Oryctolagus cuniculus: one gene and its partners. The protein of the gene in region 3 purifies or fractionates together with the protein of the main gene of each other region. This does not show direct contact. Links are inferred from orthologs where the notes say so. Each region holds a gene or a part of one and is shown on either strand. Other genes may lie near its edges. The genes, in order: NPM1, CHD4, USP36, GNL2, DHX33 and DGCR8.

Region 1 (3,500 bases), on a different chromosome or scaffold from region 3:
GGAGAGACCCAGAAGCTCCTGGCTCCTGGTTTTGGATCAGCCCAACTCCAACCATTGTGGCCATCTGGGAAGTGAACCAGTGGTTGGAAGCTCTCTGTGCTCTGTTTAACTCTTTCAAATAAATCTTAAAAAATAAAAAAAATAAAAAAAAAAAAAAACCCTAAAGACACAAAAAATTCACAGTAGACTTAAATCTAATGACAATATTCAACAGAATCCCTACAACAATGCTGACTTCCTTGGAAAAATCTGTCCTAAAACCACATAGGGTTCTCACTTGGTGATTCAAACAGTAATCTAAGACCTATATGAATGCTGAAGCTACTAGTATATTTTCACGACCTCAGATTTGGCAACGGTGTTTTAGGTTTAACAAAAGCAAAGCAAAAAATTCTGTACTTCATGAAAACGAATTTTTATGCAAAGGCTACCACCAAGTTACTGAAGATGGCAGAAAATGGCAGAAAGTATTTGCAAATCACCTAAGGTACTTGCTTCCAGAATATAAAGAACTCTAGCAATTTTTGAATGAGCAAGGGATCTGACCAACATTTTTCTCCAAAGATATACATATGGTATATGTCCATCACCAGTCACCATGGAAATGCAAATCAAAACCACAATGATACTATACACCAGTGGGGTAGGTATGTATACAACCCACCACTGGCAGGAATCATTCAGGCACTTAGAGGAACTGCCAGGCTTTTTTTTCCCGAAGAGTTAAACCTCCAGTCACCATTTACCCGAAACATCTAGAATAGGCAAATCTACAAATATAAAGACCAAGTTCATTCGTTGAGGAACATGAGGAGTCACAGCTAAGGGAAATGATTTTTTCAGTTACACCATTTTAAAATGATTTGTGCAGCTAGTGACGTGGTGTCGCATCTACTCCACTTCAGATACAGCTTCCTGATAACGGCCCAAGAAAAGGTTCAAGGAGCTGGTGATGTGCCGCAGTGGGTTAAACCAGCTGCAGTGCCAGCACCCCGTATGGACTCCAGTTCAAGACCCAACTGTTCCACTTCACATCCATCTCCTCTGTGGCCTGGAAAAGCAGAAGATGGCCCAAGTCTTTGGGCCTCTGTGCCTTCACGGGAGATCCAGAAGAAGTTCCTGGTTCCAGCTGTTGCGGCCACTTAGGTAGTGAACAGATGGAAGATTCTCTGCCTCTCTAACTCTGCCTTTCAAATAAAAAGTTTTAAAAATAAATCGGTTTAAGACATAAAAGAATCTGTCTTTAAAAAAAAACTTCAAAAGGCCAAGTTTTAGACACTTCCCACTCACTGATACTCCTGGCTCTTGGCTAGGCTCCACCCTGACTGCTGTAGCCACTTGGGGGCAAATCAGTGGATGTTAAGATCTGTTTCTCCCTCTCTCCTTAACTCTTTCAAATAAATGTAAAAACAGAAAATTGTTTTTAGGTGATGGCTGCACAGGGTGTTGATTCCAGGATCCAAGTATTCCACAATCCAGGGATATTTAAACCACTTATAAGAGTGTCCGCATACATATACACATACATATACTCCAAATCACCTCTAAGTTACTTCTTACACCTAACAAAAATGATGAAAGATTAAAAATCAAGTCTGTATTCAGTACAGAAGACACTGTCCAACAATACTAGTATAGAATCCAGATATAAATTTCAACTAAGCTGTGCCATACCCTTTCCATCCTCAAAAGAGGATCTCCCTTTCACCTTGTTCTTTGTTCAAAGTCTACTGCCAATTGGCTATTTCATCTTTTCACATCTTAACCATCATCCATGCCATGCTCTTAACCCTCAGCCCCCTTGAGGCAACCATGACGTCCCTTAGCACACACATGCTTTTGACTACCCTCTCCTCTATTCGAAAATGTGCTGATTTGGACCACCCATACTTTACTTTCTCCCTAAGCATTATCTACTTACTATATACACAAAGGGACAATTCCGACACTGTGGTTACATTTTAAAAAGTAAATCTACTGGGGCTGGCACTGTAGCACAGCAGGCTAAGTCTCCATCTGTGGTGCCAGCATCCCATAAGTGTGCCAGTTTATGTCCCAGCTGCTCCCCTTCTAATTCACTCTCTGCTTATGGTCTGGGAAAGCAGTGGAAGATCGCCCAATTGCTTAGGCTCCCAAACCCACATGGGAGGTCGAAGAAACTCCTGGGCTCATTGCTTTGGTTCAGCCCATTTGGGGAGTAAGCCAATAGATGGAAGGATTCTGTCTCTACTTTCCCATTCCTACCAATGCTGCATGCTCTACTCTTAGGAAAAGCCACAATGCACAGCAGCATTTTAAAGGCTCAGTCCCAACATTTTTTTGCTGACAACCACTGACCACATGAATCCCTTTAATTATGAACTATTGCACAGAATAACTCTGGTAAATCATTTCCATAAAATTACCACCCATGCACATAAAAGCATGCTACTCACTCTTCATCATCATCATCGTCGTCGTCGTCATCTTCATCATCTTCTTCAGCAGCAAGCTTTACTTTTTTCTAAAAAGGAAAATATACTTATGAGCAAATGCTGATTGTTACCACCTAACAAAGGCTGTAATGCAAATCTGCAGTGAAATGACATCTCTACCTGTGGCACCTTGCTGCCACCTCCAGGGGCAGATCGTTTTCCAGATATACTTAATAGCTTCACATCCTCTTCCTCCTCGTCTTCTGATTCTGCATCTTCCTCCACAGCTAAAATAAAATTATCAGACATTTATTTTAAAACTCAAACAAGAATCATTCAGGAAAAATAAAGATTAATACTATAGAATGCTGAACACTTAAAAATCCAACAAAAGGACAGCAAATGGCAACAGAATTTTTTAAAGGATTTTGTTGTTAAACATGCCCTTACTATCATTAATTTAAGGTTCTCACTGGAACTCACTATAAACAGTAATAGTATAACCAAGCCTGGTTTAAGTACAAACCAGAAGCCAAGCAACTGCAGTATATGATATATATATATATACAATGCAGTATATGAAAAGAACATACCTACTAAGTGCTGTCCGCTAATATGCACAGGCCCTGAACCACACTTCAACCTTAAGACCACAGGTGGTGTTATTTCAAAGCCCCCAAGGGAAACCTAAAATGGAGATTTAAGAACAGCATTACAGGCAAATCCACACACCAAAATAAACCAGTGAGTCTGTTTCCCCCTCTATTTAACAGCAGAAACCTTTTTAACAGCTGACCATTCAACTCTAGTGACAGAAACATGTAGCTATGACTAATGGGGTAAAGAAGCACCAAATAAAATTCCACTTTCTAGGGCCAGCACTGTGGCAAAGTGGATGAAGCCGCTGCCTGTATTGCCAGCATCCTGTATGGGCAACTGCTCCACTTCTGACCCAGATTTCTGCTATGGCCTGGGAAAGCAGGGGACACCTGGAGGAAGCTCCTGGCTTCAATCAGCCCACCTCCAGCCACTGCGATCACTTGGGGAGTGAACCAGCATTGGAAGACCTCTCTTTGCCTCTCTGTA
Region 2 (2,835 bases), on a different chromosome or scaffold from region 3:
GTTTTTTTTTTTTTTTTTTTGACAGAGTGGACAGTGAGAGAGAGAGAAAGGTCTTCCTTTGCCGTTGGTTCACCCTCCAATGGCCGCCGCGGCCAGTGCGCTGCGGCCGGCGCACCGCGCTGATCCGATGGCAGGAGCCAGGTACTTATCCTGGTCTCCCATGGGGTGCAGGGCCCAAGCACTTGGGCCATCCTCCACTGCACTCCCGGGCCACAGCAGAGAGCTGGCCTGGAAGAGGGGCAACCGGGACAGAATCAGGCGCCCCGACCGGCAGTCTGAAGCCCGAAGTGGACTTCGGCGCAGCCACAGCGCCACCAGGCGGCGGTGCCGGGGACTGCGCGTCCGGAGGCACCCCGGGACGGTGCTGGGGGCTCCGGTCTCTTCTGGGAGGGGATGGGGGGATGGCTCGAAGCAGCCCTTAAATATCCGATGAGTTTCAGGGGGGCTCCTGCCTTTCACCTTCACCCAGCTGCGCCTACACCCACACTGAACCAGAGGACTAAAATACAAGGAAACTTTTATTTTCAATTTTGATCAAGAAATTTGTTGCGGTTTTTTATGCTTTTGGTTCTTTTTCCTTTTTTTTTTTTTCCACTTTATTTCACTCTAGCCGCACAGTGGCTGGAGCCGCTGGGTTCCTGGTATTAAAAAGATGCCAACAGAGGTAGCTGTGTCTCACCCAGGGGCCCGGCCCACTCTTGAATACCCCAAAAAGGAGAAAACACAAAATAAACCAGCAAAATAAAACCAAAAGGAGGAAGAAATTCAGATCATTTTCTTCAAGCCCGGCAGGAACCCACAACAGTTTGTGTGTAACAGACGTTACAGTGGGGGAAGCCAGGGTCCAGAAGGCCAGCCCGCCAGCTCCCTGCAGATGGCGCCGGCGCTACTGCTGCTGCTGCCCGAATCTCCAGCAGGAAGGGCACCACTGCCCCGCACTCCCTCCCCTCCCCAGTGCACGGGGGCTGTTCCTTTACAACATGGAAGATGGGCAGGAGGAAGGCGAGGGTCTCTCGGGCCCCCGGGGGAGAAGCCGGGACAAGAGGAAGTGAGGAAGGTCACTGCTCAGCGGTGGAGGTGGTGTCAGGCTGGCTCTTCATTGCTGCTGGGCTACCTGGAGGAGACAAGACAGGGGGTCAGAACTTCACAGGCCACAGGGACCCAGCCTGACAGCAAAGTTACAGCTTCAGAACGGGTCTGTGGGAAGCGCTGGCGTGGAGAACCAATGATCCCACCTGCTGTGGCGGAGGCTCCGGTGCCCGGTTGGCCAGGCGGCTGAGAATGTTACGCTCTGACATCTGTAACCTCACAGCCACAGGAGGAATCCGGGCAATGGTCGCTGGGAGTCGAGTCACATCGGCTTTCATGTCACTGAGCAGCTCTTCCAGCTGTTTGAGAACTGCAGAGGGAAAACGGGTTGAGCTGTGCTGGGCAAGAAAGATGCTCTGGGGCCGGTGCTATGATGGGGCAGGTCAAGTCGCCACCCACGACGCTGGCATCCCACATGGGCACCGGTTCAAGTCCCTGCTGCCCCACTTCCGATCCAGCTCCCTGCTAATGCGCCTGGGAAAGCAGCAGAGGCCAGCCCAGCATGGGAGACCTGGATGAATCTCTTGGGTCCTGGCTTCAGCCTTGGCTTTTGCAGCCATTTGGGAGATGGAAGATCTCTGTCTCTCCCTCTAAACTCTGCATTTCAAATAAATAATTTTTTAAAAAAAATGACCTCCCTGGCCGGTGCCACAGCTCACTAGGCTAATCCTCTGCCTGCGGTGCCGGCACACCGGGTTCTAGTGCCGGTTGGGGAGCCGGTTCTGTCCCAGTTGCTCCTCTTCCAGGCCAGCTCTCTGCTGTGGCCCAGGAAGGCAGTGGAGGATGGCCCGAGTGCTTAGGCCCTGCACCTGCATGGGTCCAGGAGAAGCACCTGGCTCCTGGCTTCAGATCAGCACAGTGCTGGCTGCAGAGGCCATTTGGGGGGTGAACCAAGGAAAGGAAGACCTTTCTCTGTCCTTCTAACTCTGCCTGTCAAAAAAAAAAAAAAAAAAAAAAAATCTCCCTTAGTGGACTAGCCCTCACACCCCCTGCTCGCGACTGTCTGCACTTCCTCCACTCGAGAGGAGTTTATTCCTGCTGTTTGCCTTCTGGATCTGTCCCCCACTTCCTTTATGACAGCTGCCTTTTCCTCACTTCACCCTCCACCTCCTCATGCTGTTTTACTTTAAATAGAAGCGAAGTTGGAAAGGGTCTAGAATCTGCAGCGATCTGAAGATGACATCCTAAGGTTCCCAAGTGACACTGGGTGTCTCTGTGCCACTCTGCACCTCAAGAACCTGAATGCACTAAGAGGCCAGCAGTGGCCGTCCTTGACTGCCTCTCAGACCTCAGCTTCCCAAGGAGGATGGCAAAGATCCTCGGTACGACCTGTGCTCCCAAAGGGCTCTGAAAAAGGCTTCCACACGCTCTGGGTCAAGGCTGAATGAGCAGGAGGCAGGGGAGCCACTGGCTACCTTTGTGCAGGACTGCATTGGCTGGCTTGTTTCCTGCCATGGACTCCTTGGACAAGTGCTGATGACTTTCCGCTAAACACTCCACTTCCGCAAAGCGAGTGTTCAGGGCCATGGAAGGGTGAGAAGGGTCCTCTGACATGTTCAGGTAGGCAGCTCGGCGTAGCTGTTCCTCAATCACCAAGGCTTGTTCCAAGAGCTGGACAGGGGATAAAGAGACAGAGTTGGAATGACACTTACTTTGCTCATTGTTAATGGACCCCCCAGCTCACCGCTTCCTGCAGGTAATGAGAACTTAGGAAGAACGTCATGGCTGGCTCCCCAACACCACTCC
Region 3 (3,942 bases):
CCACCCTCGGCTGGGAGCTCAGAGCCCAAGCTTCAAATAGTTAAGCCACATCAAAAAAGCATGTCCCGGGCCAGCCTTCTGGCACTGGGGATGAAGTCGCGCTGGCGATCCTGGCTGCTCGGCTTCCAATTTCGCTTCCTGCTAATGTGCCTGGGAAGGCAGTGGGAGATGGCCCACCTGGGGCACTGGATAGTTCCAGGCTCCCGGCCCAGCCCTGACCCTTGCAGCCATTTTTGGAGTGAACCAGGAGAATGGAAGATCTCTTTCTCCCTTTCTCTGTAACTCTGCCTTTCTAATAAATAGATAAATCTTGAAAAGAAAAAACGAGAGCGAGAGAGACCAGGCTGGGCTAGGGTGAGTCAGGAGACAGGACTCGACCCAGGTCGCCCCTCTGTGGGACAGCCCAGTCAGCCGGGCCACCACTGCTTCCTCCAGAGGCCTGCGCTGGCAGGAAGCTGGCGTCAGGAGCCAGAGCTGGAGTTCAAACCCAGGTATTGTGGTGCAGGGCACGGGCACCTTAACCTCCAGCCTAAACACCTGCTCCAACACTCACTCGCAAGAAAACCAGCGTGAAAGTCTTTCCGAAGGGAAAGGACTTGAGGCTGCTCACCAACCAAAGGGTCCCTGCCGGGTCTCGGGGGTAACGGGCTGGACTGTAACCAGGGCGGAACCGTGCCGGCCCACCTGGGTGTCTACACACCGGCCGGGTCTCAGGGGTAACAGCGTGCACTGTAACCAGGGAGGAACCGTGCCAGCTCACCTGAGTGTCTACACACCAGCCGGGTCTCGGGGGTAACGGCACGCACTGTAACCAGGGCAGAACCGTGCCGGCCCACCTGGGTGTCTATGTACCAGCCGGGTCTCGGGGGTAACGGCACGCACTATAACCAGGCTGGAACCGTGCCGGCCCACCTGGGTGTCTACACACCGGCCAGGTCTCAGGGGTAACAGCGTGCACTGTAACCAGGGAGGAACCGTGCCAGCTCACCTGAGTGTCTACACACCAGCCGGGTCTCGGGGGTAACGGCACGCACTGTAACCAGGGCAGAACCGTGCCAGCCCACCTGGGTGTCTATGCACCGGCCGGGTCTCGGGGGTAACGGCATAGACTGTAACCAGGGCGGAACCGTGCCGGCCCACCTGAGTGTCTATGCACCGGCCGGGCCTCGGGGATAACGGCACACACTGTAACCAGGGCGGAACCGTGCCAGCTCACCTGGGTGTCTACGCACAGACCTGCAGCTTCGGCCTGCACCATGGAGCGGGTCTGACCGGCCAGGTGCTGTCCTGGGCCCTCAGAACCGGCACTCCTGGACTCAGCACAGGTGTCGGCGCCTGTGGGGAGCCCAGCAAGACCGTCACACACGGCGACAGGCGCGGGCCCAGGCTGTGAGCGCGACCAGGAAGAGTCAAAGTTACAGGTGCACTCACTGCCCCTGCAGACACGCGAACCACGGCCAGCCGCTCCGTGTCCTCACCCCGAAAACCGAGAAAGTCAGGGGCCGAAAACCCCCGCCCAGCGACGTCCCCTGCGGCCTGACGCACTTCCCGGGGCTCAGGGGCATTCAGCTGAAGTCTCCAAGCTCATGGGTTCACTCGCTGCGCGGATCCACAGCTAAAACCATCACGGTGACCGCCCAGACCGGAAGTCCTTCGGGGCTGACGTCACAGGGCAGCAGGTGAAGCCGCTCCGCTCCAGCTCCCTGCTGGGGCGCCTGGGGGAGCAGCCGCCCACGTGGAGTCCCGGGCAGCCCCGCCCCGTCCTCGCAGCCAGGGCACAGCACTCCGCCCCGCATCTGTCATTCTGCCTTTCGAATAAAGCAAGCATGCGTTTTTTAACTGAAGTACACACAGCGGAAGTGGGCGCTGGGAGCGCGGCGGGCACCAGGGGTTCGGGGCCCCCTCCGGCCAGTCTGGGTCCTCCCGTCCCGGGGTCGTGCACAGCAAGCTTCTCGCCCATTACTCCGCCCGACCCCGAGGTGCGACAGGGCCCGCAAAGGCGGCCCGCCTGGCAAAGCCTCCCGAGCCGACCACCGGGGCGCAGGGGCTGGCTAAGGCGCGGGAGCCCCGAGCCCCGCCGCTTAGGTCAGACTGGACACACACAACTTTCCGAGTCGTGACGTCAGCCTCACTCCGAGCAGTCACCTTAAAATGACACCGCCGCGGCCCGGGAGCCGCCCCCCGCAAGCCCCCGGGCCAGCTCGGCCTACACAGCCCCCACCTCCTGCCTCCACAGTCGCCGCTCCAGGGCCACCTGCTCCCGGGGCTCAACCGCGAGCTGCGGGCAGAGCCGGGGCCGGGGAGCCGGGGAGCCTCTCCCCGACGCGGGCCGCGGGCGTGCGGGCGCCCCCCGCTGCCGACGCCGCTCCCGCCCGGCCCCGCGCCCCCAGGCGCGCTCCCCGACCCCGCACCTGCGGCGCGGGCCACCCTGCGCCCCGCGTCCCGGCGCGGGCCCGCTCGGCCTGTCCAGTCTCCCGCCAGCGAGCTGCGGGCCCCGGCGCTGGAGCCGTCCTCGGGCCCTCCGAGACCCCCGCTGACAGCGCCGCCGGGCCCCCGGTCCCCTCTGCGCCGCGCACCCGCGCCGTCCCCGAGCGCGCCCCCGTGCCCACGCACCTCCCGCGTCCCGATGCAGCCCCAGCCTACCCAGGACTCTCGGCCGGGCCGCCTCAGGCCGCGCGGCGCTGGCCTCAGGCTCGCGGCTCCTCACAGCACCATCCGGGCCTCCGGCGCCTCACACACGTGTCACGGCGGCGCTTAAAGGCGCCGCGCGCAGCCGCCACGCGGTGCTCCCGCCGGAAGGCCCGGGAGCCTTTAGGAGGCGGACCTAGCCCGGACCCTCCCGCCCCGGACCCGCCCACTGCGGCCCTACGCGCCGCCTACGTCACCTCCCCACGCCGCGTCCCCGCCCGCCTACGCCGTGACGCAAGCGCGCAGAGCCGAAGCCGCCCCGCCCCCAGGCCGAGTCGCGCGAGCTCCTGCGGGCGCCGCGCTTCCGGGTCGGCGGGCGGGTGGGCGGGGCGCCGGGCGGGCTGCGCGCGCTCGGGTGCGCAGAGGAGCGAGCCCCGCCCCGGAAGGGGAGACGGGGCGGCCCCGCGGGGCTCTGGGCGCGTCTGGGGCTCTGTCCTCGCGGTGGGCGCGGCGTGGGCAGGGGTGGCGAGGGTGGTCTCCGGCTGACCGCCGCCACTCTGGGACCCCAGGGCACACGGGGCCGGCTGCTTGGCACGCCGCATCCTCTGGGCGCCTGTTCGAGTCCCGGCTGCCGCACCTGCGGGCCAGCACCCTGCTGACGGCCTGGGAAGCGGCGGAGGCCCCTGCACCCACGCGGGAGGCCCAGAGGAAGCTCGCGGCTGCGGCCCGGCGCAGTCCTGGCCGTTGGGGCCATTTGGGGAGTGAACCGGCGGATTCACGATCTCCCTCCCTCTCTCTCTGTCACTCTCCTTTTCAAATAAATTTTTAAAAAATGCAAACGCAAACAAGCCGTGCGAGGCGAAGCCTGTACCCCGTCCACGCGCGGCTCCCGGCTCCGCTCCACTCAGACCGGGCCTGCGGGGTGGGGGGGTGCGTGGACGGTGGGCGCAGCTGGGTCCGCCAATTCTGCCCTCAAGACTGGGGTGCTGGGGCACTTACCCAGGCCTCCCGCACCTGGGGGGCGCCCCGCGGCGCCTCTGATTCCTGTAGTTGTCACTGCTGGTCCCCGGGACCCAGCCGGTCACTGGGACCCAGCCGGTCACCGCGGCACAGTCTCCGCAGCCCACGGACTGTCCCTGTCCTCGTCCTCGTGCTACAGGGCGACAGCTCAACCCGCTGGGCGCGAGGTTTGAACCCGTGTCCTCAGAGTTCACCCCAAGGCAGCAGTCGCCAGAAAGTGCAGCCGGGGACCCTCGGGGGACCCCGGGCCCGGGACCCTGGGGGCACACGCCCCCTCCCGGCTCAGGGCTCCAG
Region 4 (3,500 bases), on a different chromosome or scaffold from region 3:
CCTGTAAACCTACACATGAAGAGGCGCGATGCACTAATACCTATTTTAGGTAGGCAAAATAAGTTATAGTACTTTTGCTGTGTTGCTACAGAAATCACATTCTCATACACACGGGCGTGAATGTGCGCAAGATAAAAGCATGTCCGACTTGACACTACTGTGCCAACAAACTCAGAATTCCACTTTACAGGAAGTAACAGACACTGTACTAACACCAAAAATGTAAGGATTTCTAGGAGCAAAGCAGAAAACTCAATGACCCCGAGAACCTGTCTGCATCAAAACGGCAGCTGCGGCAGCTGCAGGTACCGTTCCAAGGGCAGCAACTTAAGCACTGAATCTTAGATGCCCCGAACAACTGGAACAGGCAACAAAGCAATGAGTCCATAATAGAACTTCTCTGTTCTTCCCATAAACAGGATTCAAGAGTTGGTTACAAGATGGCTTTAGGGAGAATAGACAAAGAGAACAAGGGAAATGAGCAACTTGTCTGTGGTTCATGAATTACACTCATGTGCTTCCCTGAAAGAAAACAGTCATTTCACTAATAGGTGCCATTCTTCTAGTCCGTCATAAAACAAAACATAATTGACAAAACCTGAGGCAGCAACCAGGCCTTGGTTTAGATTTTGTTCCGCAAGTAAACACTTTTCTTTGAACTGTTTAATCCTTGTACGCACGTCACCAGTCTCCTTCCCTCCTTATGCTGGAACTGAAGCGTACGCACTGGCTACACTTCTGGGAATTATTATTCAGCGCAAGTAAAGATGTGCAGGCAGACGCCAGGCCATCCCTTCGTCCTGTGTGAAACTCAGGCCACTCCGGCCAGACCTAGTCCTGACCGTAATGCAGGCTGCAGTGGCAGCCACCAATCTGGACAGCACCTTCTTTTCAGTGGAAAAGTCCCCAAGGGTCCCACAGAAGCTGGAAGGGACCCTCACCACCTCAATCCTAATCCTACAGTCCCTCGAAGCTTGATGGAATTACTACTTAAGCAGCTGTGCCTACCAAGATAAATAAATGATCAAAAATCGTAACAATGCTGTTGATTCAGCTCTCATTAGGTGGTGTGCTGTGTGCTCACTAGGGGCTGAGTGCTCTCCACACGTTGCATCTGCACGCAGTCGTCCACGGTGCTGATGCATCTTTATGTCACAGGCGGGGACGTGTAAACTCCCAGAGAATCCTCACTAAGGGGCAGAGCAAGAACTACACTTCAGGGGCTGGTGCTGTGGCACAGTGGGTTAAAGTCCTGGCCTGCAGCACCAGCATCCCATAAGGGCGCTGGTTCAAGTCCCAGCTGCTCCTTTTCTGATCCAGCTCTCTGCTATGGCCTGGGAAAGCAGCAGAAGATGGCCCAAATACTTGGGCCCCTGTATCCACATGGGAGACCCAGAAGAAGCTCCTGGTTCCTGGCTTCAGATCAGCACAGCTCTGGCCACTGTGGCCATCTTGGGAGTGAACCAGCAGACGGGAGACCTCTCTCCATCTCTACCTCTTTAACTCTTTCAAAGAAATAAAAATCTTAAAAACAACAACAACAACAACAAAACACACTACACTTCAGGCCTCACTCCCAAGCCTGTGCTGTGAGCCACCACGCTACTGCACCTCCCTGACAAAACTCGACCCAGACTACAGGTGAGACCCCTATCAAAGGTGAACAAGGAAGTCTCAGGACATTCACCACTGCTGTATTAAGGCCAGAGACAAACATGTTGGAAAGGTATCTGTGTGGAGTCCACCCAAGAAGTTCCATGGCCAGGGATCTCCCACAGCTTACATGAGGCTGGATTCGATCGTGCAGAAGAGACATCGGCAACTTGCTCTGCTTCATGACGACTTTGTATGGATCCTTCATGACAGCCTCCATTTCCTCTTGAAACTTTTGCAATGACGACTGCTTAATCACACGTGTGTTTCCTGTTTTCAAACAAAGAGTGTCGCCATGTAATAAACAATTCTGTGTGGCTTCTGCCACCTCCCCACTGGCACAGGGAAAGGCAAGACTTAAATTGCCCTCCACCACCCAAGCACCAGACACACCCACTCCTGTGGCCCTTTCAAACTCAGAGGGGTGGGGGGGGAACCACCACAAAACCGCTTCTGCACTCGCACACTATGATCTAATCCACCCAACTCAGACACACAGAGGATTTCGTGGTTTTCCAAGCCCGATTTCCTGACTGGATGAAACTGAAAATCAAACATCAACAAAGGGAACTGCCTTTGAGATCTGTCCTACTCCCTGTTCCATCCGGCCATGGGATCCAGAGCACTCCCGGCTGATCGGTCTCTGGTCAGGCGCACAGAGGCGCGGTTACAAAGGCTGGGGAGGAGGGTGCTATCAACATATAAATCTCCGCAAGGGAACACATCGGAGCCACACAACCACACGACAGGACCCGGCGAACACCTTGCAAGAGACCGGGCCTCAGAAAGTGTTCAGTTAAACAGCGCATTACAGCACGAGTGCAAAACCTCCAGGCAGTGATGGCAAGAGCAGTCAGCGCCTACACTGCACTCCCTACTCGTGGGGACCCCTCCAAGCACCCCACGTCTTTTCTCTTTAATCACCACCACACTGCTGTGGGACAGGCATGACTTCTACTCCCACTGCAGAGAAGAGCAAACAGATGAACGGGCAGACGCTGTAACTAGTCCACAGTCACCTGCATGGCAGAACCAGAATTCAAACTCAGGCAGCCTGGATCTACACAGTCGCGTGCCCAGTCACCTGGTCCTCTCAGGTATTTTCCTGTTGCGGTTCTTAGGCGCTATCCTATCAAGAGGTGTGCCCAAGCACAGAGATCAAACACCAGGCAAGCAGTGGGGTCTGACAGTCTGCATCAGCTTGGGCCCGTCCTTAGCCCCCCCCAGCTATTGGTGGCTAAGAGCAAGTCCAGACTGAGATGAAGGCAGAGATCCCAAAGGAAGAAACCCCGTTCCTCCTGAGACTCCAGACACCCCATCCATTCCCGGAAGGACCAACCAAAAATGAGGCTCTTTCATTGTCATGCAGGTTCAGATGGTTTCATTACGACAAAGTATTGCAGAGGAACTTGAGGCTAGTGTGCTTTGTGATCTAAAAGCACAACCCCACTGGCAAGGCCAGTCTCAAGCAGTAATCACTCCAGAAATGCAGAGTTCAAGGTCTGCGAAGGCTAGTCTTTAAGGCTGGTGGGCTGGCATGGCAGGGTCTGCTGACATTTAACAACAGAGAGCTCTCTTCAAAAGCAAAGTTAGGGGGCCAACACTGTGGCGCAGGCTGATCCTCCGCCTGCAGCGCCAGCAATCCCATATGGGCGCCGGTTCTAGTCCTGGTTGCTCCTCTTCCGATCCAGCTCGCTGCTATGGCCTAGGAAAGCAGTAGAAGATGGCCCAAATACTTGGGCCCCTGCACCCACGTGGGAGACCCAGAAGAAGCTCCTGGCTCCTGGCTTCAGATCAGTGCAGCTCCGGCCATTGTGGCCATCTGGGGAGCGAACCAGCAGATGGAA
Region 5 (2,666 bases), about 48 Mb from region 3:
GCTCCTTCAGAGGGAAAACCACAGCTGGGTATGTGGGAGGCCCTGCGGTCAGTTTCCCATGCCTGTACTTGATATATTCACAAGATACAAATTGGCCTTTGCCTAGGAAATGTACACGTCCTCCAAAACCACTGATGGGGATCTGTGCCAGGGAGGCACGAGGGTCGGGGGACTCCTTTAGTGGCCCCTGCCTGGAGGCAGACACAGGGCAGCGCGCATCCTAAGACCGGAGGTTCCACACAGACGGCCACCCCAGTAGGTGACAGACAACAGCACCTCCTCCAGAACCGCCCACAGCACGCCATGTCTTAGGGCTGCTATTTCAGTCTCCCACAGACAGACCTTCAAATAGGACCAGGGACAGCATCCAGGCACGGCAACCCCCAATGGCAGCCTCCTTCCAGAAGGCCCGCTTTGGTCCCAAGAATGCAGGGGGTTTTGTTGTACTTCGCTTACACTGGGTAGTGAGCAGCAAGGTTAAGCATAATGGCTCACGACTCATCGGAAGTGTAGCCCATGCCGGGCATGGCTCTGGGTAATTTCCATCCATGTTCTCTACACTTCATGGCCCAATCCTGTGAGTGAGAATTCTTATAAGGGCTGGCACTGTGGCGTAGAAGGTTAAGCCTCCGCCTGAGGAGCCAGCATCCAATATGGGCATGGGTTCAAGTCCTAGCTGCTCCTCTTCTGATCCACCTCCCAGTTAATGGCCTGGGAAAGCAGCGGAAGATGGCCCAAGTGCTTGGGCTCCTGCACCCACATGGGAGACCGGGAAGAATCTCCTGGCTTTGGATTGGCCTAGCCCTCGTTATTGCAGCCATTTGGGGAATGAACCAGCAGATGGAAGACCTCTCTCTCTCTGTCTCTCCCTCTCTCTGCAATTCTGCCTCTCAAATAAATAAATAAATCTTTGGGGGAAAAAAAAAGTCTTATGACCCCCACTTGGCAGATGAGGAAACGAGCCCCCTGCAGTCACCGGCAGGAACCAAAAGCACAGTAAGTGCAGGTCCACATGCACACAGTCCAGGCTGAGCTTCCTGCTTCTGGAAGCCAGGCACGCTCAGCTGTGTGGAGACGCGCAGCTGCCCCAGGGGCCAACCGGAGAGCCTGCCGTGAGGGCAGCGGGCGTCCAAGGCCCGGGCAGGAGCAGCATGGACAGCACCCTGAGCGGCTCAGTTTCTGGCTGTCCTCAGCTTCCTCCTGAAGTACTCGGGGGCAGCCTCGTACAGCCACTCGGCGTCCACAACACAGAGGTCGCGCATGTAGCACTTGTTGGTGTGCAGCAGCTCTGTGTACACGACGCAGGCTGGCTTGCAGTGGAAGAGGACAGACGACGGGTGGATGGCCACCGGCTGGTGGGTGTCCGTGGTGGCGTAGGTGCCGTCGGGCTGAAGCTCGGCGGTGTTCATGAAGAGGCTGTGGGCCAGGCAGCGGCGGACGCTTTCCATGTCCCCTCGGGAGGACGCCATGGGCATCGACATCTGTTTCAGGACAAAGTGAGAGATGAAAAGGACCCCAGTGACCAACACCGCTCGGCACGACCTAGTGGGTGGCAGCAACAAGGCCCACGGCACAGCTCTGGTCTACCGTGTGCCCAACATAGACACCGACACGGAGGGGTGGTCTCCTCACGTGTCTTAGGGCTCAGCACGGGCGGACTGAAGACAGGAAAACCATGGCCGGGGGGGAACGAGGACTGAGAGGGAGACATTCCTCTGAGCGCCCAGCCCACAGGCAGGTTGGGGGCCCCAGCCCCTCGCCCAAGTCTTCACTGGGACGTGCCGGGGTTGGGGGAGCCTTTCCCCTTCGCTGATAGCACTGTGCAACAGCAGGTTAAACCGCCACCTGGGACCCCTGCATCCCATATGAGTGTGGGTTCAAGTACTGGCTGCTCCACTTCTGAACCAGCTCCATGTTAATGCACCTGAGAAAGCAGCAGAAGATGGTCCACGTCACCCATGTAGGAGACCGGGATGGAGTCCCAGGCCCCTGGCTTCGGCCTGGGCTAGCCACAGCCATTGCCATCTGGGGACTGAACCAGCAGATGGAAGATGGCTATCTTTCTTTCTCTCTCTTTCCCTCTTCCTCTTTCTCTAACACTGACTTTCAAATAAATAAATAAAACTTTAAAAATAAAAAAAAAGGAAGAAGTATACATAGTACAAGCTATAGAACATGTGTAATACATTGGGCTTTTTGGTGGTTTTTTTTGCTTTTTTATTTTAAAATTTTACAAATTTATTTTCACTTTATTTGAAAGGCAGAGCAACACAGAGACAGAGAGAGAGATCTTTCATCTGCTGGTTCACTCCCCAGATGCTTGCAACAGCTGGTTCTGGGTCATCTGGAAGTCAGGAACCAGGAACTCAATCCTGGTCTCCCGCACGGCTGGCAGGGACCCAGATACTTGAGCCGTCACCGCTGCTTCCCAGGGTGTGCGTGAGCAGGAAGCTGGATGAGGAGCAGAGGAGCTGGCACTCAGACCAGGCTCTCCCACGTGGGATGTGGGCCTCCCCAGCAGCACCTTAACCACTGCCCCAAATGCTTGCCCCCACATTTCTGTTAAAGGGAAATGTGATACATAAACCCATGTGTCTGTGTACACAGACAAGTTATCTCTACGGGGCAGGATCACGAGGCCTCTGCTGCAGCAGGAACCACCACGT
Region 6 (4,034 bases), on a different chromosome or scaffold from region 3:
GGGGTGCTCGGGAGGGCGGGCGGGCGGCCAGCCCGAGCTTGGGCAAGGGCCGTACATCCCCCGGAGAGCTTTCTCTCCCCATCAACAAGAGTTTGCTCCAACACCTTCCACGTGGCGCACACAGGCACTCTGGAACACTGTAGACACAAGACAAGCCCCCAACCCACGGGGCTCACATTTTGAGCACGAGTAACCGTGAAATGTCCAAGCTCAAACAAAGCAAAGAACAGGGCTGGGGAAGGGGAGGCAGCGCAGACAGGTAGCCAGCGAAGGCAGAGGGGCAGGAGGCGGGACATTCCAGGGAACATCAAGAGAAAGAGTGTGGCGGGGCTAGCTCCAGCAGTGTGTCCAGGGCAGGCGCAGAGGGTCAGGCCAGCGAAGGCAAGCACAGATGGCCACCACTAGGCCCTTATCCTGAGGTGGGTCACTGGTGCGAGCAGCGACGTCACGCGGCCCAAGGCCCCTCCGCGCGCTCTCAGGTCTTCGCACACCCGCTCTGTCAGCTCTCACAGCACTGAGCCTCGCTCAAGGCCACACAGGAGCACAGGGAGGAGCTGCTTCGCCCCAGTGGCCAGCTGGCCTCGGTCTAGACCACCTGGGATTTTCACAAAGGTACTTCAAAAAGTTTGCGGAAAAGCACAAAGATTCGGCTTGTGGCAGGTGTTTCAAAGAATGGTTAAGAACCAACCTACCCCTGCCGAAGGAGCACCTGGGTCACTCCGCTCCTGATTCCAGGCTCCTGCCACTCACAGGGGAGACGGGACTGAGTCCCTGGCTCCCAGCCTCGGCCCGACCCAGCCTTGGGCGCTGTCTCTCTCTCTCTGCTTCTCAAAATGTGTAAAAAGAAAAAGAGGGGAACACTGGGCCTAGCATAGCACCTGGGAGGCAGCCTGACAGCTCAAGCGGTTGGGTTCCTAGCACCCATGGCGCAGGCCTGGACAGAGCTCCTGGCTGTGGCCTGGGTCCTGGCTCAGGACTGGCCCTCGCGGCCATCACAGGTATTTGGGGGAGTAAACCAGCACATGAGGTTTCTCTTTCCCCCTCCTCAAATACACTTTTCCCACAGATGTCTATTTCAGTGAACAACTTTTTCCAACCGTGCACAGTCTCATAATACATACTTCCCATGAACTTTCTGAAAACCTCACCTATGCATTTATTCAAAAAAAAAAAAATGGGGGGGGGGGGGGTCAAAATCAACTCTCTTCATTCCATTGTCTACAACCTTTCTGAAGTAGCCTTCCACCACCACACAGCTAAAAAGATCACTTTGTGTCCAAAACAAAACAAAACCAAACCAAACCTACAGGTGAGGGGGTGGGGCTGAGGGTTCCAGCAAAGAGGAGGCGGAGGCTCACCAGGCAGCTCGGCCAGGACCTTAAGCTGCAGAGAGGCGGAATACCGGAGAGGCAAGGTGAGCTCAAGGCTTCCTGGGGACGCAGGAGTAAGAGCAACAGAGGTGCGGGTGGTCTGGACAGGGGCGGGCATGGCCACTTTGGAATCAAAAGTAACAACACATGGGGATGTGCAAGAGGCCGGGGCTCCGAAGGGAGGCCAGAGCCAGGATCTTGAAAGACACAGAGGAAACTGCATTCAAGCCAGGAGGCTGGGGGAGAGCCCAGGCGAGGGGGCTCCCATGCCCCAACTCCAAGGTCACCAGGCGGCCTCCATCAGACGCCCTGGACGGTGCTCCCCTGCAGCGGCTGGCCACAGAGGGCTCAAAGGGAGGCCCGCAGGCCCTGCAGCCCACGGAGCACACGGCCAGCCGCAAGCCCGGCCCTGCCAACTGGACCGGGAGCCAGGCGCGGACGCACAGCGCCCCTGGACAGCACCCTTCGCTGCAGTCTCCCGCCCATCCCAGCGGCAATGACCTCATCCAGTCCTTTTGTCATCCTCCAACCGGGCCTCGCGTCCTGTCCTCACTCCCTCTGCGGCCGCCGGGTTTAACGGGGCGGGGTGGCGAGCGGCTGAACGAGGGTGGGCACTGGCCGCCGTGCACCCGCAAACCAGGGACATGCAAGCATGCGAAACGGCAAATCCGGTTCCTACCACGAGCAACCCAAGTCCACCCGAGGGCACTTGACAGGTATGGCTGTCAACAGGTTGCCGCCTTCCCGTTTCTCTCTACCACGCTCACGGTTAACAAATAAAACCACATCCCGATGGCTGGCAGGGCGCTCAATCCGTGAGCGTTTGGTGGAGAGAAAAGACTCGGCGACTTCTCGGGGTTCCCCAACTCTATCCATGCCGGGCAGCGTCCACGCCAGCGCCGTCCCTGTCCGCCCCTTCCGCGCCTGGAGGCGACACTGCGCCTTCGGGCCACCCGGATAAGGGTCTCCATAACTGGGCGGGTAGCGACGAGCACCAGGGACCCCCCGGGCCCGGGATCGACCCCCGGCCCCGGCCCGGGCCCCCGGCGGGCCCGCGCCCCCGCGCCCTCCGCTGCCCGCGGCCATATTGCCTGACAAAGGCTGGGACTCCGCGTGGCCCGGCCCGCCCCGAGCCCGCGCCCCGTCCGCAGCCCGGGCCCGCGGCCTCGGCCAGGAGGGACGGAGGGAAGGGTGCGCAGGCCGCAGCGCCCGCCCGCCCGCCCGCCCGCGGGGCGCCCCTCGCGCCCCGCACCTACCTGCGCCGCCCGCGGCCTGCCCGAGCCGCCCGCAGCCCGACCGCAGCGGGGAGAGCCTCACCGCCCGGCGGCTGCTGCAGCCGCCATCACCGCCGCCGCCCCCGCCGCCGCCATCATCTGGAAAGGCCGCCTAGCCTCTCCGGTCGGCGGGACCCGCCTGCCGCGCCGGGCGAGCTGAGGGCGGGCCTTTGCGGCGCGCGGCCAATCCCCGCGCGCCGCCGCCGTACATTGGGAGAGACGCGGGAAGCGGGCCGCGGAGGCCGCCAATCGGCGGAGCGCGGCGCGCGCGACGGCGGCGCGCGGCCAATAGCGAGGCCACGTAGGCGGGCCCAGGCGCGAGGTCCAGGCCGCGCTAACGGTCGCCCCCAGCGTGGGGGGTGGGTGGAGGGGCGTTCGCCTTCTCCGAGGGCGGCGGCCGCGAGGGGCGCTGGGAACGGGGGGCGCGGGGCATGCCGGGAGCAGGGGAGCGCGGGAAGCGCGGGGCACGCCGGGAGCAGCCTCCAAGCACTGCTGGAGTGGACAGTGCACGGGAGCCCGCGACAGAAAGGGAGAGCCTAGCGGCCAAGGTAGCGCCGCGTCCCATGAATGCAGAGGGAGCGCCGGGAACGGAACGTCTCCCTCGGTGACAGGTGCTGCAGCGGGGGCAGGCCATGGGAGAAACAGTATCTGAAAGCAAAGACGGGGATAGAGACCCGTAGAGATGAAAGCCCTTCTAGATGCTGGTTCACTCCCAGATGCCTGCTACAGCTGGGACCGGGAAACCGGGAGTCAGTCGGAGTCTCCCACGTGGGTGTCAGGGACCGAAGTACTAGAGTTAGCAGCTGCTGCCTCCCAGGGTGCGCGTGGGCAGGAAGTGGAGCCAGGACCCCACTGCAACGTGAGATGCAGGTGTCTGAAGCAACAGCTCACGGGCTGTGCCAAATGCCTACCCCTGGATCACAACTTAAAAAAAAATGTAGGTAGGTATTTGAAAGAGAAATCTTACAGCCACTGGGCTCCATCCAACAGCCACACGTCTGGGCCAGGCTGAAGCCAGGAGCCAGGAACTCCATCCTGGTCTCCCACATGGAGGGCAGGGCCCCTAGCGAGAACCATCACTCCTCTGCCTTCCCAGGTGAATGAGCAGGAAGCTGGATTAGAAGCAAAGCATGGGGGCTGGCATTGAGCATGGCCACCTGCGATGCCAGCATCCCACATGGGCGCCGGTTCGAGTCTTGGCTGTTCCACTTCGGATCCAGCTCCCTGCTAATGTGCCTGGGAAAGTAGCAGAAGATGCCCCAAGTGCTCAGCCTGCACCCATGTGGGAGACCCGGAATAAGCTTCCAGCCATTTGGGGATTGAACCAGCAGATGGAAGGTCTCTCCTTCTCTGGAACTGTGCCTTTCAAATAAGTGGAAATAAATCTTAA

The links.
Region 1: the proteins of USP36 (region 3) and NPM1 purify together in Homo sapiens (affinity purification with mass spectrometry; 4 studies listed by BioGRID and IntAct, counting the BioPlex papers as one, with this or other methods). This does not show direct contact. The link is inferred for Oryctolagus cuniculus from reciprocal best matches to the Homo sapiens genes USP36 and NPM1.
Region 2: the proteins of USP36 (region 3) and CHD4 purify together in Homo sapiens (affinity purification with mass spectrometry; 3 studies listed by BioGRID and IntAct, with this or other methods). This does not show direct contact. The link is inferred for Oryctolagus cuniculus from reciprocal best matches to the Homo sapiens genes USP36 and CHD4.
Region 4: the proteins of USP36 (region 3) and GNL2 purify together in Homo sapiens (affinity purification with mass spectrometry; 3 studies listed by BioGRID and IntAct, with this or other methods). This does not show direct contact. The link is inferred for Oryctolagus cuniculus from reciprocal best matches to the Homo sapiens genes USP36 and GNL2.
Region 5: the proteins of USP36 (region 3) and DHX33 purify together in Homo sapiens (affinity purification with mass spectrometry; 5 studies listed by BioGRID and IntAct, counting the BioPlex papers as one, with this or other methods). This does not show direct contact. The link is inferred for Oryctolagus cuniculus from reciprocal best matches to the Homo sapiens genes USP36 and DHX33.
Region 6: the proteins of USP36 (region 3) and DGCR8 purify together in Homo sapiens (affinity purification with western blotting; 3 studies listed by BioGRID, with this or other methods). This does not show direct contact. The link is inferred for Oryctolagus cuniculus from reciprocal best matches to the Homo sapiens genes USP36 and DGCR8.

Annotation. Positions count from the first base shown.
Region 1 is NC_091437.1:58,117,998-58,121,497, reverse strand, and holds part of NPM1 (nucleophosmin), read right to left. Parts: intron 3,102-3,500; coding exon 3,008-3,101; intron 2,702-3,007; coding exon 2,595-2,701; intron 2,504-2,594; coding exon 2,436-2,503; intron 1-2,435. UniProt on the Homo sapiens protein: Involved in diverse cellular processes such as ribosome biogenesis, centrosome duplication, protein chaperoning, histone assembly, cell proliferation, and regulation of tumor suppressors p53/TP53 and ARF.
Region 2 is NC_091440.1:102,932,729-102,935,563, reverse strand, and holds the end of CHD4 (chromodomain-helicase-DNA-binding protein 4), read right to left. Parts: intron 2,701-2,835; coding exon 2,505-2,700; coding exon of another isoform or gene 2,502-2,504; intron 1,400-2,501; coding exon 1,236-1,399; intron 1,115-1,235; coding exon 1,097-1,114; 3' UTR 501-1,096; downstream 1-500. UniProt on the Homo sapiens protein: ATP-dependent chromatin-remodeling factor that binds and distorts nucleosomal DNA. Acts as a component of the histone deacetylase NuRD complex which participates in the remodeling of chromatin.
Region 3 is NC_091448.1:2,834,945-2,838,886, reverse strand, and holds the start of USP36 (ubiquitin carboxyl-terminal hydrolase 36), read right to left. Parts: upstream 2,801-3,942; 5' UTR 2,644-2,800; exon of another isoform or gene 2,614-2,643; intron 1-2,613. UniProt on the Homo sapiens protein: Deubiquitinase essential for the regulation of nucleolar structure and function. Required for cell and organism viability.
Region 4 is NC_091438.1:135,186,090-135,189,589, reverse strand, and holds part of GNL2 (nucleolar GTP-binding protein 2), read right to left. Parts: intron 1,924-3,500; coding exon 1,784-1,923; intron 1-1,783. UniProt on the Homo sapiens protein: GTPase that associates with pre-60S ribosomal subunits in the nucleolus and is required for their nuclear export and maturation.
Region 5 is NC_091448.1:50,891,981-50,894,646, reverse strand, and holds part of DHX33 (ATP-dependent RNA helicase DHX33), read right to left. Parts: intron 1,482-2,666; coding exon 1,173-1,481; 3' UTR 1-1,172. UniProt on the Homo sapiens protein: Implicated in nucleolar organization, ribosome biogenesis, protein synthesis and cytoplasmic dsRNA sensing. Stimulates RNA polymerase I transcription of the 47S precursor rRNA.
Region 6 is NC_091452.1:27,750,262-27,754,295, reverse strand, and holds the start of DGCR8 (microprocessor complex subunit DGCR8), read right to left. Parts: upstream 2,801-4,034; 5' UTR 2,627-2,800; intron 2,427-2,626; exon of another isoform or gene 1-2,426.